Elephas maximus indicus: one gene and its partner. The protein of the gene in region 2 purifies or fractionates together with the protein of the main gene of each other region. This does not show direct contact. Links are inferred from orthologs where the notes say so. Each region holds a gene or a part of one and is shown on either strand. Other genes may lie near its edges.

Region 1 (7,027 bases), on a different chromosome or scaffold from region 2:
TTACTTTCTCTTTATGAACAACATTATAACTAAAACACACCTCCCAACAACCCTGCCACCCAACACTAACACACATGGGGTTGCCATGAGTTGCAATCAACTCGATGGCAACTGGTTTTGCTGGGCTCTGGATACTGGAGACACACACACACACCCCTAAAATGGCAGTGTGGGAGGCAAGAGACATTGGAAAGGCTGTAAAGTCCCTTGCCCTGAAGGTAATTATCACAGCAGCCAAGACAGGAGAGAGAACACCTTGATAATCACCCCATGGGTGGGTGGGAGGGGAGGGTTGTTCTGGGATCAAAAGTGGCCACGCTGGATCAGAATCTCCATCTTGTCACTTCTGCCGTCCGCATTTCTCAAGAATCAGTGCTCACTGCTAAGGCTCGCCAGCGCTGACAGACGCCTACTCACTCAGCCCTAAGCACCCTTTCCCTGAACCTCCCCAACATCAGGGCTGGAGACAGTGTGCCATCTTGTAGGGAGGCACTGGAGGCCCAGGTGTTAACTGGCCCTGGATCAACAGCTACCACGGGGCTACTAAGGAGCAGACGAGGGACCAAATCCCCGTTGCATGTGGTCCTAACCCACTGTGCCAGGCACGTGCCCTTCTGCCTCCACATCACCATAAGGCAGAGACAGCAAACAGATACTATGACAGTAGGCCCGAGCCAAGACAATAGACATCTTGGGTTTGTCCAGTATCTATCCAGAACCCAGCAAAACCAGCTGCTGTCGAGTCAACTCCAACTTATAGCAACCCATGTGTGTGTCAGAGTAGAACTGTGCTCCACAGGGTTTTCAATGGCTAATTTTTTGGAAGTAAATTGCCAGGCAGGCCTTCCTTCTCTGGGTGGCCTCGAACCACCAACCTTTTGGTTAGTAGGCTGCCGGCTTTATCCTACATGTTCTAACTTCACAGAGACTGACAGAGAAAGGCTGCGGACGGCCACGGAAAAGCTCTGCCTAGCTTTTGTGTACAAATACCGAGAGAAAAGGCAGCCTACCCCTCCCACATAAAGAGGTATAATTACTAGCTACAGAATAGAATTCTTTTGTTGTCCAGCTCTTAATGAGTTTTGTAAAAAAACCATGTAGAATCAAAGAGCTCGACTAAATGGTTTCAGGCAGACACATCACTAATCAAATTTAAGTTCACTTATTTTACTCAACACAGCTTGTTAAAGTGACAGGCATGCCAAGTTCCTCCACATTAATCAACTTCATGTTTAGGTCATTTCGGTGTTGCCATACTGATCACTGCTTTTGAACCAAAAAAAGGGGGGGAAATGGCAGAACAGAATGGCCGACAGTGGTAACATTCGAAAAGAGGACAACCTGCCAGACGGCAGTACCCTTATTAGAACAAATAATCAGTTATGTGAGATCAGAACACAGGTTTGCACTTAGGTAAATCTTAAGAAAAACAAAATGAAACAAGCCTTTCACACTTTTGAAGGTACCTTTTGCTTTTTTCACTTGGAAAGTTATCAGTTTAGAGATGAATGACTAATCTCAGGAATGAGTGTTTGAATCGATTTCCCTGCGGGATACGCGGTGCTAACATTTATTGTACTGCGATGTTACTCAGAATTTTAATAAACCTTAACTTAGAGATTTATATGGGTGATTGCTGGCGGTGTGGGCAGGCAGCTAACACACATCACTTCCATCCCATGGAACACATGTAATCTCTTGCTGGTGAAATAAAATAAATTACTCCTATCTCCAAAGGGGCCTGCTCACCTATTTACTTTCTAAAGTAGCACAACTGCTATTTCAGTCTACCCTGAAATTTAGAACCGTCTAGCATTAAAAGCCTCCTGAACTTAAAAAAAAAAAGAAACCCAAAGCCCCCAAATACACATACGCAAACGCTCACGATTACTCTTTCCTTCAAAATACTTCAAGAAAATAAAGGCAGCCTACGCCTCCCGGTCCCCCATTCCCTCACCAATGTCGGCCGAGGGGACCCCGAATCCAGAGGTTTTCGGGCACCCGTAAGGGTTTCGCCCAAGCGGAAGGACAAGAGGGCGCCACCCGTTCACCCTCCTGGGGCCTCCCTCGCCTGCCGCCCGGGCTGGGCCCTGGACTTGGCCGAGCAGTTGGGGACCCTGCGCTCCGGGGTGCCGTAGCATTTCCGCTTTACGCGCCGGGGCCCCCCCTCCCCGATCCGGGCAACCTCCCTGCCGGGCCCGGCACCGCCCCCCAGAATGGGGCGCCTGAGAAAGTCTCCCACAAAGCCGGGGCGCGCCTGGGCCGGGAAGCCCGTGGACTGCGCGCGGGAGCTACCCGGACACCCTTCTGCGTTCTCAACGCCCTTAGTGAATTCAGGCGCCCTGGGCACCCGCAGGACGAGAAACCTGGGCAAAGAACAACCCCACCGGGCCCGGAATGCCTTTTAGAAAACAAAGCCAAGCAAAGCGAAACAAGACCCGCACCCCGCCCGGGAGGCCGCCCGGCGACCCGGCGGCACCGCCCGAGTGCGCAAGGCCCGGGCCGGCACGTCTCGGGGCCCCGGGCAACCTCGCCCGGGCACCTCGGCACTGACCCTGCCGCCGGGCCCTCGGCCGCTCCGCCACCCCCAAGGCCACTCGGTACCGAGAAAACAAGCCTGTGAGGATAACTCAGGCGCACGCCCCTCGGATTCTAAGAGGACCGCCACCCCGACCCTGACCCCCTGGTTCACTCCAGGATCCAGATCTTGGTGTCGCCTGCGTCTCCCGTCCCGTTTCTGGGTCACCCCTACCAGGGAAAGGAGCCGGGCGCAGGAGGCGGTTCTCAGCGGACGCCTAGCCGGCGCCCTCCAGGGTCTGCGGCGCGGTGGGGGCTCCAGGAGGGACCCCGCTCTTACCCCTGCGGGCAGGCCGGCGCGGACGGAGGCGGCGGTAACTGGGTGCGCGCCAGGCGAGGGCGAGGGCGAACGCTGAAGACGCGGGGGCCGCGGACCGGGTGGCGGACGGGGGCGCTCCGGGGGTTGCGGGCGGCAAGCCGGGCTCTCGACCTAGGGTGCACCGTGTTCCTCGCGGCAGCAGGAGGAAATACCGGCCCGTCCCCTCGCGGCGCAGCTCTTCAGGAGCGCGAAGAGGAGGGACTAAAGAGGGGAGGAGACAAGGGGAGGAGGGGAGGCGGAGGGACGGGAACGGGGGAGGGGACCAGAGGAGGAAGGAGGTCGGGGACAAGGGAAAGGAAGAGAGGGAGGGGGAGGAGAGGAGAAGAGTAGAGAGGCAAAGGAGAGGAAGGGAGAAAGGAGAAAGGAAGGAAAAGCTGGAAGGAAGAGCGGAGCGAAGAGGAAGAGAAGGGAGAAGAGAAAGGGGAGGAGGGGAGGAGCGGAGGAGGGGAGGAGCAAGCTCCTTCCGGCGGGGCCCTCTCTCCCGCGTCCGCTGTCACCTGGCTCTGTCCCAGGGACTCAGGATGTGTGCCGGGAGAGCCTTTCCTGGGAAGAATCAGTTTCCTCTCCTGATCCCTGTGGCTTTCACACCAAACCTGCCATTGGAATTCAGCATGAAGAGAATAATGAAGAGCGCTGGTGACACGGGTGGTCGCGGCGCTTGGCTAATAAGATCTCCCTGGGCGGTGCCCTCGAAAGTTGAGCTGGCCCATTCTTGGACCTCCCTCTGGATCCAAGATTTCTAGTTATTGGGTCATGAAAAGACTCTAAATGAAGGTAACAAGTACGATCTGGGCCCTTTGCTGGCTCACCACCAAGTTTATTGTGCACAACGAATTGCGCTACTCAGGGTAATTCCATTTCCATAGCCCTCGTGTGAGGGGCGCCCCCTAGAATTGAGCGGTGCCTATCGTAGTAACCAACACCGACTGAGCTTTCACTCGAGGCGAAGCACTCTACATGTATTATCATTTAATCTTCAGGACATTTCTCCAAGGTTTTATTGTTGCCACTTCGCACATGACAGACCTGAATCTTAGGGTAAGTAACTGGATCATAAGCGCGGGTACTCATGGGAAATTCAGGATGGCAACCCGACCTTTTCTGACTCCCAAGCCCATGGTCAAAACCGTCACCTATACGCGGGTTTCCATTTTTATCAGAAGGCGCCGAGCCCATGGCTAAAAATGTATGCATTTCCTATTTAGACTTAGATCCCAAACCAAACCCACAGCAGTCTAGTCGATTCCCACTCGTAGCGACCCTATAGAACAGAGTAGAACTGCCCCGTATTGTTTCCAAGGTTGCAATCTTTACTGAAGCAGATTGCTGCATCTTTCTCCCCGGGAGGGGCTGGTGGATTCGAACAGCTGAACTTTCTGCTGCCAGCACAGTCACTTAACTACTTAGACTCTCAATATTTTGGAGAGAAATTTAGATTTGTACGAGATTTTTTTAAAAAAGCCTAGTTTAGGCAAGACCCTAGGACTGAAAGCAGCTACATCATAAAGACAGGGTGCCGCGGGAGGGAGTGAAACTGTCCAGCTTCTGTCAGCCAGGGTTCCTGGTTTCCGTGGCAACCATGGATCTGCCGTTATCCGGATCACCGAGATACTGCAGCCCCTTAGTGCGCCTTGCCACTTGAGGGTGTCCAGGTATCACCATGGCACATGTCAGAGGCAGGCCACATTGTGCAAGGGGAAATCAGTGTTTTGGGGGGATTGAATTGATTCTGATGGCTTCTCAGTGTACGTTCAGGCCCGAATCAGAAAGGGTACATAGGTCAAGAAGGAGTTTTATAAATGGCATACAGATCCATAGTAAGTTACCATGGAGATGCAATGTGTTCCTTTTTTTTCTTTTCTTAAAACCATAGCGGAAAATCCTGACTCATCTGGCTGCCCTTCCAGGTAATACAGCGGCTTTTCCCCCAGGCTACTCACACAGTCCTGGATGGTGTCTGAGAAGCTTGGTGCCACGGCCAGTTTCGGGTGTCTGAGAAGCTTGGTGCCACTGCCTAGTCCCCTGTGCCTGCTCCCCACCCATGTTTGGTGCCAGAGGTTGATGGACAGGCTCCCTGGTGCTGTTGTTAATCTGCCGTTGAGTTGGCCCCGACTCATGGTGACCTCAGGCACAATGGCATGAAACGATGCCCTGTCCTGTGCCATTCCCGTGATAGGTCATGGATCCACAGGGTTTTCACTGGCTGATTTTTGGAAGTAGATCACCAGACTTTTCTCCCAGGGCTCCCTAAAGAGGACAGATGGAGACCCGTTGATTCTTTGTGAAGACGTCTTTCCTTCTTTTGAGGATGGGGGCCAGGAAGAAGCGCTTTGCTCACTGGGCAGTTTCAAGCATATACAAGCTGAGAGACAGAAATCAATGGAAGGAGCACTGGAGTTGGGAGAAAATCTTTTCCTAATGGCCAAGCCTTCCCCTGCTTACTAACTCGGAATACCTTGAGCCTATTATTTAACTCCTCTGCAGAAAAGGGGCAATTATGGAACCAACCTATCCACCACCCATCTGTCAGTTTGTCATAGTGTGGTGGCTTGTGTGTTGCTGTGACGCTGGAAGCCATGCTATGGGTATTTCAAATATAAGCAGCATCACCCGTGGTGGACAGTTTTCTGTGGAGCTTCTAGGCTAAGAGAGACTATGAAGAAAGGCCTGGGGATCTACTTCCAAAACTCAGCCGATGAAAACCTTATGGGTTACGACAGAACTTTGTTCTATTCTCTTGCTTTGGACACGCCATCAGGAAGGCTCAATGGACAAAGCAGGACATCATGTTTGGTGAAGTAGAGGACCAGTGAGGGTGAGGGAGACACTCGGCAAGATGGATTGGCTTAATAGCCACAATGATGGACTCAAACATGCATTGATTGGGAGGATGACACAGGTTGCCATGAAAAAGAGTCAGCTCACTGGCATCTGTCTGTTCATCCATCCATCCATCCAACCATCCATCCACCCACCCACCCAGCCACGTACCCCTCCCTCCCTCTCTCTCTATGGAACCTATGTCATAAGACATAAATCCCAGTACTTACCAGTGTTGAGTGCCTTTTGAGCTGAGAGAGCTCAAAATGGCAGCTACTAAGTTTCTTTCTCCAAACTCCCCCCTTGAATCATTTTATGAGAAACACTTGGAAAAAATTGTCATACACATGAAAAAAGAAATTGTCCCTACTGTCTCAGATCCCACTGGTGTGAAACCCTACCCAAAATGACCATGGCCTGGATGACAAAATGGCAGAGCTGAAAGAGGTGTGGAGGCCTCTAGGAGAAGAAGCTAGGTCAGTTTGCCTGGGTCACACTCGGAAGGGACACAGAGTCCACACAAGCCTAGTCTCCTGACTCCCACCCAGGCCCCTCTAGCTCCCTGCTTCCCACAAAGCCCCCTTGCCCTGGGTCCTGTGCTGTGACTGTTCCACCGCCACAGTTTGATGGTGACATGAACTTAATAAAATGACGTATGCTAGTTCTGGGATGATACCGGGGCTCCTAATTTTTTTTTTTTTTTTTTTTTTTGTCCTTGTTATTAGCTGGTTTCCTAGTTACTCAGCCTAGTTATTAAACCCCTGCCTGGTTGAAGCCTGTGATTATTCATTGACTGTTACGGCGCGATGCTCAAGGAACACCAGGCTTTACAGTAAATGAAGCCTATTTAAGTACTGCGCTCGCTGCACTTTAAAATCAAAAGTTGAAGGTGTTAGAAGGAAATGAAAAGGCAGAAGACGCACAGGGTGAAATGATCAGATGTGCTTATGTCAAGCTGAGTTTAAGAGTCATCTTAATCCTTTTCCCTTAAGACAGAATAAAGCTCAGAGAAGAAAAAAAGGAAAGAGATAGCAGAACCTATGTCTGCACAAATACTAAATTATCTAGAGAGTAAAATACAGATAAAACGTTCTTTAGAAACCAGACACTATCATTAAAAAGTCATTCTTTAAAAAAAGAAACACGTTTCCTTAGAGATACCTTCATATTTGCCTTGAGATCCAAATCAATAGAGGCAACACACGATTCAAGGTAGTTTCAAGTTGCAAGTTAAACAGACGTCATTTGGCCGGAAGTGTATCATTTATTCATTCAGTAAACATAGGCTCCAGGACCAGGAAGACAAAGATG
Region 2 (6,979 bases):
CCAAAAAGAGATATAATGAACTAATGAGATCCTTAGACAAAAAGTGAAATATGCAAAATTTTTAACTGAAAACTCTCAGTGGACACTTCCACACTACAGTATAAACGAAAACAGAATAATTTAAGCAGCATGATTAGAACTCAAGAGACTAGACTGAAATTTTTAAATTAGGTGATGGGCTAATAAAAATTTTAATAATCTTGTTTCAAAAAAAAAAAAAAGTGCCAGCTGCTTAAACTGTTTCTACCCTTTCCAAACCCAAACCAAACCCACTGCCGTCAAGTTGATTCCAACTCAAGGTGACCCTACAGGACAGAGGTAAACTGCCCAACAGGGTTTCCAAGGCTGTAAATCTTTACAGGAGCAGACTGCTACATCTTTCTCCCGCAGAGCAGCTGGTAGGTTCAAACCACTGGTTAGCACCAAGAGCTTAACCACTGAGCAACCAGTGCTCCCCACCCTCTCCAATTCCCTATAAAATAGCCTATAGCACACTGAAACTCACATGGTGCCTGGCAGACAGTGAGTATTAAGTAAGTATTTGTTAAATGAATGAATAATTCCCTTACCTCTCACATCTTTTACCCTGTTTTAGTATACCTATTTTTTTTTTTTATATGGATGCTGGAAGCTCTGGTGGCACAATGGTTAAGCGCTCAGCTGCTAATCAAAAGGTCGGCAGTTTGAATACAGCAGCCAATCCTTGGAAGCCTCATGGGACAGTTCTACTGTCCTACAGGGTTGCAATGAGCCAAAATCAACTCAACGGCAATGGGGTTGGGTTTGGTTTTTTATATGGATGCTGATGCGTTTGTTTTCTTTTCAGTCTACTGAAAATTGAAATGGTAGCAAAAAGACTAAATTCTGCAAACCCTCCACTTTATTTTACTAGCTTCTACCTTACCACGTGGCACTCTCTAAAAACAAAATAAAAAAAAACCCACTTCCGTCAAGTCGATTCCGACTCATAGCAACCGTACAAGACAGAGTAGAACTGCCCCACAGGGTTTCCAAAGGAGCAGGTGATGGATTCAAACTGCCAGCCTTTTGGTTAGCAGCCGAGCTCTTAACCATTATGCCACCAAGGCTCCTCTCTACTGAGTATGAAGGCAAACACCTCTTAGATCCAATCATAAACTGCTAAAATTATTCATAACTATCATTCACAATTATAGCCCAGGTTCAACGAAAAATGAAATAATTCTGAATCCAAAATAATTTAAAAGAAAAGCAGAAATATGAATAAAGACAGTATTATTTTTCTGCAAGAGTCATAAACTGTATATCTAATCAACAGCTTCCCTAGCAGTTCCAACTTATTCCCCTATCATACTTAATGACACCAACCCAGATCATCCCCATAATGTTAGTGCAAGCCAACTTTCTACAACATAATCTCTTAAGGAAATCTATCAATTTCCTCCAAAAGAAAAGCACAAAACCCCACCAGTTTCTACTCAGCTAATTCCTTTCTCATAATCCAACCAATAATATCCAAAACCCAATAAAAATCCCAAAACACTTTCAGCAAGTCAACTTCATATGGCTAGCCCGTCTATGCCAAATCTCATGACTGAATAGTACTGTGTCATTCAAGATGCCAACTATGATGGCAAAATCTCTAATACCTAGCGTTTCTCAAATCAGAAGCTCCAGTATACTCTAATGCGTTATACGAGTGTAATACAACTGTAATTAACACACCGATGATGTTTACTAAATGTGGTTCCCTCTTGAAGATATTCGATTGAGAAATTGAATATTTTGTGAATAGACTTTGACTACAGCAGATATAAAAGTGGCCTACACTTTGAAATGTGAGACGAGATATATTTAAATACACATGTACACACACAACTGATACTTAAATACTACTTCCCCTTAAAACATCCTTACCCGTGTTTACAGCACCATGCACCATACCGCCAGTAAGCAAATCCTGACCAGCAACGCCATCCCTCAGCATCCCAGGAAGCTTCACCCTCTTCACAAATTTAATTCACCTCAACAAGTAATCGGATTGATTTTTGGGTGCCTAAAACGCCAGACAGCCAGAAAATGCAAGGCCCAACCTTCTTACCCAACTTTCTTCTTTATCCACAACATTATTCGATGCTCCATCTCCCCATCCTATTTATTATGCCTTAAATTCCTCTCACTTCCTCCCCACCACTGCTCACCTCTTCACTACCCCCAACCTGCCTTGGGACTTCAACATCTCCTCACTCCTCCCCTCCGTCCTTACCACCCCCCCACCCCCACCACCGCTACAAGTTCGAATCTCGGAAACGCTGACTTCAGAACAAAACCAGTATCCAAGCTCTTACACAGGCCACCCTCACACTGGACCCCACCAGCCTAACCAGCAGGAACTCGTAACACACAGGGGGCAAGGGGTGCGGGGTGTTATTCAAACCTACCAGACGAAGTCGTTGCTTTTGTCTTCATAGGAGTTGATGAGCCCGTTGCAGAGCGGGGTGGGCAGAGGTCGCTTCCTGCTGCCGCTGCCTAGGCTGGAGCTGCTCCCACCTACGCCGGGGCTGGGCCTGGCCGCGCAGCTGAGCCGGGACGGGCCCACGGACACCGCCCCGCCGCCGCTGCCCGACGCCGCGGCCGCCACCAGCACAGGCCGCACCGGGCCCCCGAGGCCGCCCGAGCCCGCGGCCTGGGCCGCTCCGCCGGACACCAGCGCCGCCGCCGAAGCCGCCACGGAAGGGGGCGACGGGGAAGAGGATAAGGACGAGGAGGCGGAAGTCACCGAGGAGGCCGCCGAGGAGCCAGGGCTCGTCCCAGCGGAGCCCGATCCGGCCGGGCGGCTACCTGACATCGTGACTCCCTCCCCCCCGGCACGGCGCTCGGAGGAGAGGGACCCAGACACGACCCACCGCCGCCTCCCCTCCCTCAGTCTCAGTGCATCCCGAGGACGCGCGCCGCGCCGGGAGGTGGGGCTGAGGAACAATAAAGTTGATTTTTTTCTTAAGGCATCCACACAACGGTGTCCGACGGGAGGGGGCGGAGGAAACTAATAAAGGGGAGTAGAAACCACTACCGCTCTCGAGGCCGCCGCCGCCGCCAACCCCTGCGCGCCGTGGGCAGGTCGTGCGCGCGCGCGCGCGCGCGAGCGGCGGAAGGGGCGGGAGCGGCGGGGGATACAACTTTCTACGCCGCCCGGGCGGTGCTCGTGCACGAACGGCGACGGCGGCGGCTTAGCAACCAGAGGAGCCCTGGGCGGGAGCTGTTTTCGCTGGTGACGTACGGAAGGGTAGGCAGTCTTAATGGAGTGAAAGGGCGGAGGAGAGTAAAATGAACGGTAGGATTGGTGGTTTGGTGGACGGGGAGCGGGGGCAGGAGAAGAGAGCCGCTCACAAAACGACTGCATACGCGCGCCCTGGGCGCCCACCCTCGCGAGCTAGCTAGGGTCTCCGTTCCAGGCGAGGAAGAGCGTGATATACGCATGCGTGGGAGCGAACCGCGTTCCTGAGTGTGAAGAGGGAGCGATCCCTGTCTCCTGAGAGGCGGATGGGTGACCCAATAGCAAGAGCACGACAGGTGCTTCTCGATCAGGGATTGAAGGTGCTGTAGACTGGGGACAAACGGAAGGAACCTGGAAGCACCGCGCAGTTCGAAAGAACCCTGGACTGAGAGTCAAGGTTTCCAGGCTCTGCTGTTATTGAGCCATTCTACAGTGTTGTGAGAATTAAATAAAGGTGAAGTCAGTGAAGAGTGTAGCAAGTTTTACCAGTTTGACCATGAGCTTATTTTAAACGTTGTTTACTAAGTTGGGTGTGACATAATAGGAAAACAGATTATACTCAATCGGAAGACAGGTCAGTCAAACCTCAGTTTAATGTGGAATTGATATCATTCTATCACAAAACAAGGAAACACAATATTCGATACCACCGGAAAATATGCAATTTCTGTTAAACCTTTTGGAATATTGAAAATTGCCTACAGAGTTTCGTTTACCACTTTGAGAATCCCTAAGGTTCTTGGGGATGTATGTAAGTTAGAAACAGCTGAACTGGGTGATTTTCAGTATCTTTTCCGTCTCCATCATTCTGTGATTCTTAGAGGAAAGGATCTGATTTAGTTTTGTCCTGAGTGTTGAAGAAGCCTATAGGGAAAGCAAGGAACTTTTCTGAAGGACATCAATGTATGTAAGGGGGCTAGGTCACAGAGGGGCTTGAGTGAAGGCCCAGAAACTCGGATTTAGCCACCCAGCTGGGCAGTGAACTTTCATAAGGTTGCCACCCTCTTCACTCTGCCTTAGCTGTTCACCTTGGTATTCCCACCTTGGGTTTACCTCAAGTTTCTGCTTAGAATGATGGTATAGGAATGGATTTATCAGATTTCCAAGAACCTCCTTGCAAGAACATTGCCTCATCCAACTCTTGTTTCAAACTATTTTCTAGACACAGCTGAAATGTGAAGCCTTCCCTGACTCTATCCTTAGCAGAGATAGTTGAGCCGTCTTTTGTGCTCCTATGATTGTTTGTACTTATATAATTGTATTTTAATTGTTTATGTGTTATTCTCCACTAGCCTGTCAACCACAACTTTCTTTGTATTTCCAACATGTTACACCATGCCTGGTGCTTATTGTTTGTTGACTAATAAATGAATAAAGCCAATGATCTCATTTTTATTTTAATTATTTCTTAAATGTTTGTCTGTCTAACTAAATTGTTAAGTTTCGTGAAAACAAGGCCATATTGGTCTGTTTGAGGCATTCGGTGTTTGGTGAAGGAAAGCATAAATAGATGAACATAATTTGATGAAAATTCATTGAATGCTTAGTACGGGAAGGCATGGGCTAACCAAGGAAGAGACAAAACCACACCTGTTGCCATGGAGTAGATTTTGACTCATAGCAACCCTATAGGACAGAGTAGAACTGGCCCATAGGGTTTCTAAGGCTGTAAATCTTTATGGAAGCAGACTGCCACATCTTTCTCCCTGACCTTTCAATTAGCAGCCAAGTGCTTAACCACTGAGCTACCAGGGCTCCTCAGGAAGAGATAGAGAAGTCTATAAAACAAGCTTATGGAATAATTGAGGACTTACAGAAATGGATTTTAAAAAGCTAGATGATGATGCCAAGGAACACATGCTTAATGCATAATGGATAAAAATCCAATAGGAGCTGAAGCAAGAGCAAGTACTGAAGACCAGCCATGTTGATGAGGGAAGGAATTAGGCTTTAAGAGAAAAGTATGGTTTGATCAAGCAGAAAGTATAATTGAAGTCATGAACCCAGAAAATAATCAGTAAAAATGCTTACATCAAGTTCAGTTATCTATTTCATAGGGGTAGAAGAGTTTATTTGGGAGAACTTCATTTGGGAACAAGATTGTAAAAAGGTTGAAATCCAGTTTTGGGCATATCCTATAAGGCAATTGGAAACAGTGAAGGTATCCGGCAGGGTAAGCGTAGGGAATATATTCAAAGTGTTAAAGAATAAGCTTTCAGAAGATTAATCTTTCAGAAGAGCTGAAAGATTCAGAGCAAACAGACTAAGAAAACATTATCAGTCTGAGCCTAAGTGATGAGATTCTAGATGAGGGTGGTGGCAAGGAAAGCAAGGGAGTATCTGAGAAAAACACTAAAGAATTTAGGAATAAATTACTCTCTGCAAAAGAATCTTTAAGCTCCTTGAGGACATGACCTATGTCTGTCATGTTCATCACTGTCTTTCCCACATGCATAGTATGTTGATTAAGTAAAAAAGATGGAGCACAAAGAGTAAGGAATGACTCCAGAGATGACTCTTGGGATAACCATAGCATGATGACAGAATTCGAGACATCTGGCAGATGGTTTAGTTTTGGGTATGTTGAATGAGGGTGGAAAAAACATTTACTAAGCATATCCGGGCAATGATTAAAAATGCAGGGCTGGGCCAAAGAGAAATTTCAGCACTTGAGAAATTTGGAAATTAGTAAGGGGATAATATATCTATAATCAAAGAGTTATTAAGGGCCTGTCACTTGCTGTGCATGTTACTACACCCATGAGTCTTAAACTATGCTGCAAAAAAGAATCATGTAGAGAGTTTGTTAAAAACTGTGGATTTCTAAGTTCCACCCCAAAAAGATTCTGATTAATAGGCCTGAAATACCCTTTGCCATCGAGTCAATTCTGACTCATTGTAAGGGCCTAAGAATATGGACTTTTACCAGCACTCAGGTGAATCTGACGTGAGTGACCAACTCTGAGAAACATTGTGCTTTATTCTGTGGGAGGTATAAGAGAAATAATGTGAAGTAGTCTTCTATCCAGGTAGCTTAGGTGCCTAAAAGTAATATGGCCCCAACTGAGAAGTCTCCCAGGAAAAAATCTTCAGTGCTTGGTATTACCTCTTGGGAACCTATTTTCAGTAAATTCACAAAAGGAAATGGGATGTGATACAGTGGCATTTCCTTTTTTTTACCAGATAAATGTATAAAGACTGTGTTCTGAGAATACACAGGCCTTCCTAGTTTCTACTGGCAAGATCTTCTGGGAAAACAGAAGAGGAAGCATGACAAAACATACACAAAGAAGGAAGTCAGGCAACTCAAAATATGAGAAGAGAAATAAATTGTTGGCCGGTGCCGTCGAGTCAGCTCTGACTCATAGTGTCCTCATGTACAACAGAAGGAAACACTGCCTGGTCCTGCACCATCCTCACAGTCGTTGCTATGAAGTAGAGAATAGGAAAAAAGAAAAAAATTAATAAAAGATGAAAGTAAGTGCATAATAAAAGCTAAGTCTGAATAGTCAAAGGAATTTTATCCCATGAACCACAAAAATAGCAATGAAAACAAAATCCAAAGTCTTCTAGCAAAAACACTTATACTGAAGTAAAATCTAATGGAGTTAAAGTGGAATATAATTACCAAGAGGATTGAGCTTCCCAGACCTATTTCTGAGGTGCCTTATGCAAGTATGATATTTTAGGGAGATAAGGTCACTGTTTTCCACCTCCATCTAGCCC

What was found. Proteins that work in one complex are often made in the same cells at the same time.
Region 1: the proteins of COP1 (region 2) and ETS2 purify together in Homo sapiens (affinity purification with western blotting; 3 studies listed by BioGRID and IntAct, with this or other methods). This does not show direct contact. The link is inferred for Elephas maximus indicus from reciprocal best matches to the Homo sapiens genes COP1 and ETS2.

What each region holds. Positions count from the first base shown.
Region 1 is NC_064820.1:221,194,205-221,201,231, reverse strand, and holds the start of ETS2 (protein C-ets-2), read right to left. Parts: upstream 3,076-7,027; 5' UTR 2,858-3,075; intron 1-2,857. UniProt on the Homo sapiens protein: Transcription factor activating transcription. Binds specifically the DNA GGAA/T core motif (Ets-binding site or EBS) in gene promoters and stimulates transcription.
Region 2 is NC_064842.1:38,684,229-38,691,207, forward strand, and holds the start of COP1 (E3 ubiquitin-protein ligase COP1), read right to left. Parts: upstream 3,103-6,979; 5' UTR 2,828-3,102; coding exon 2,421-2,827; intron 1-2,420. UniProt on the Homo sapiens protein: E3 ubiquitin-protein ligase that mediates ubiquitination and subsequent proteasomal degradation of target proteins.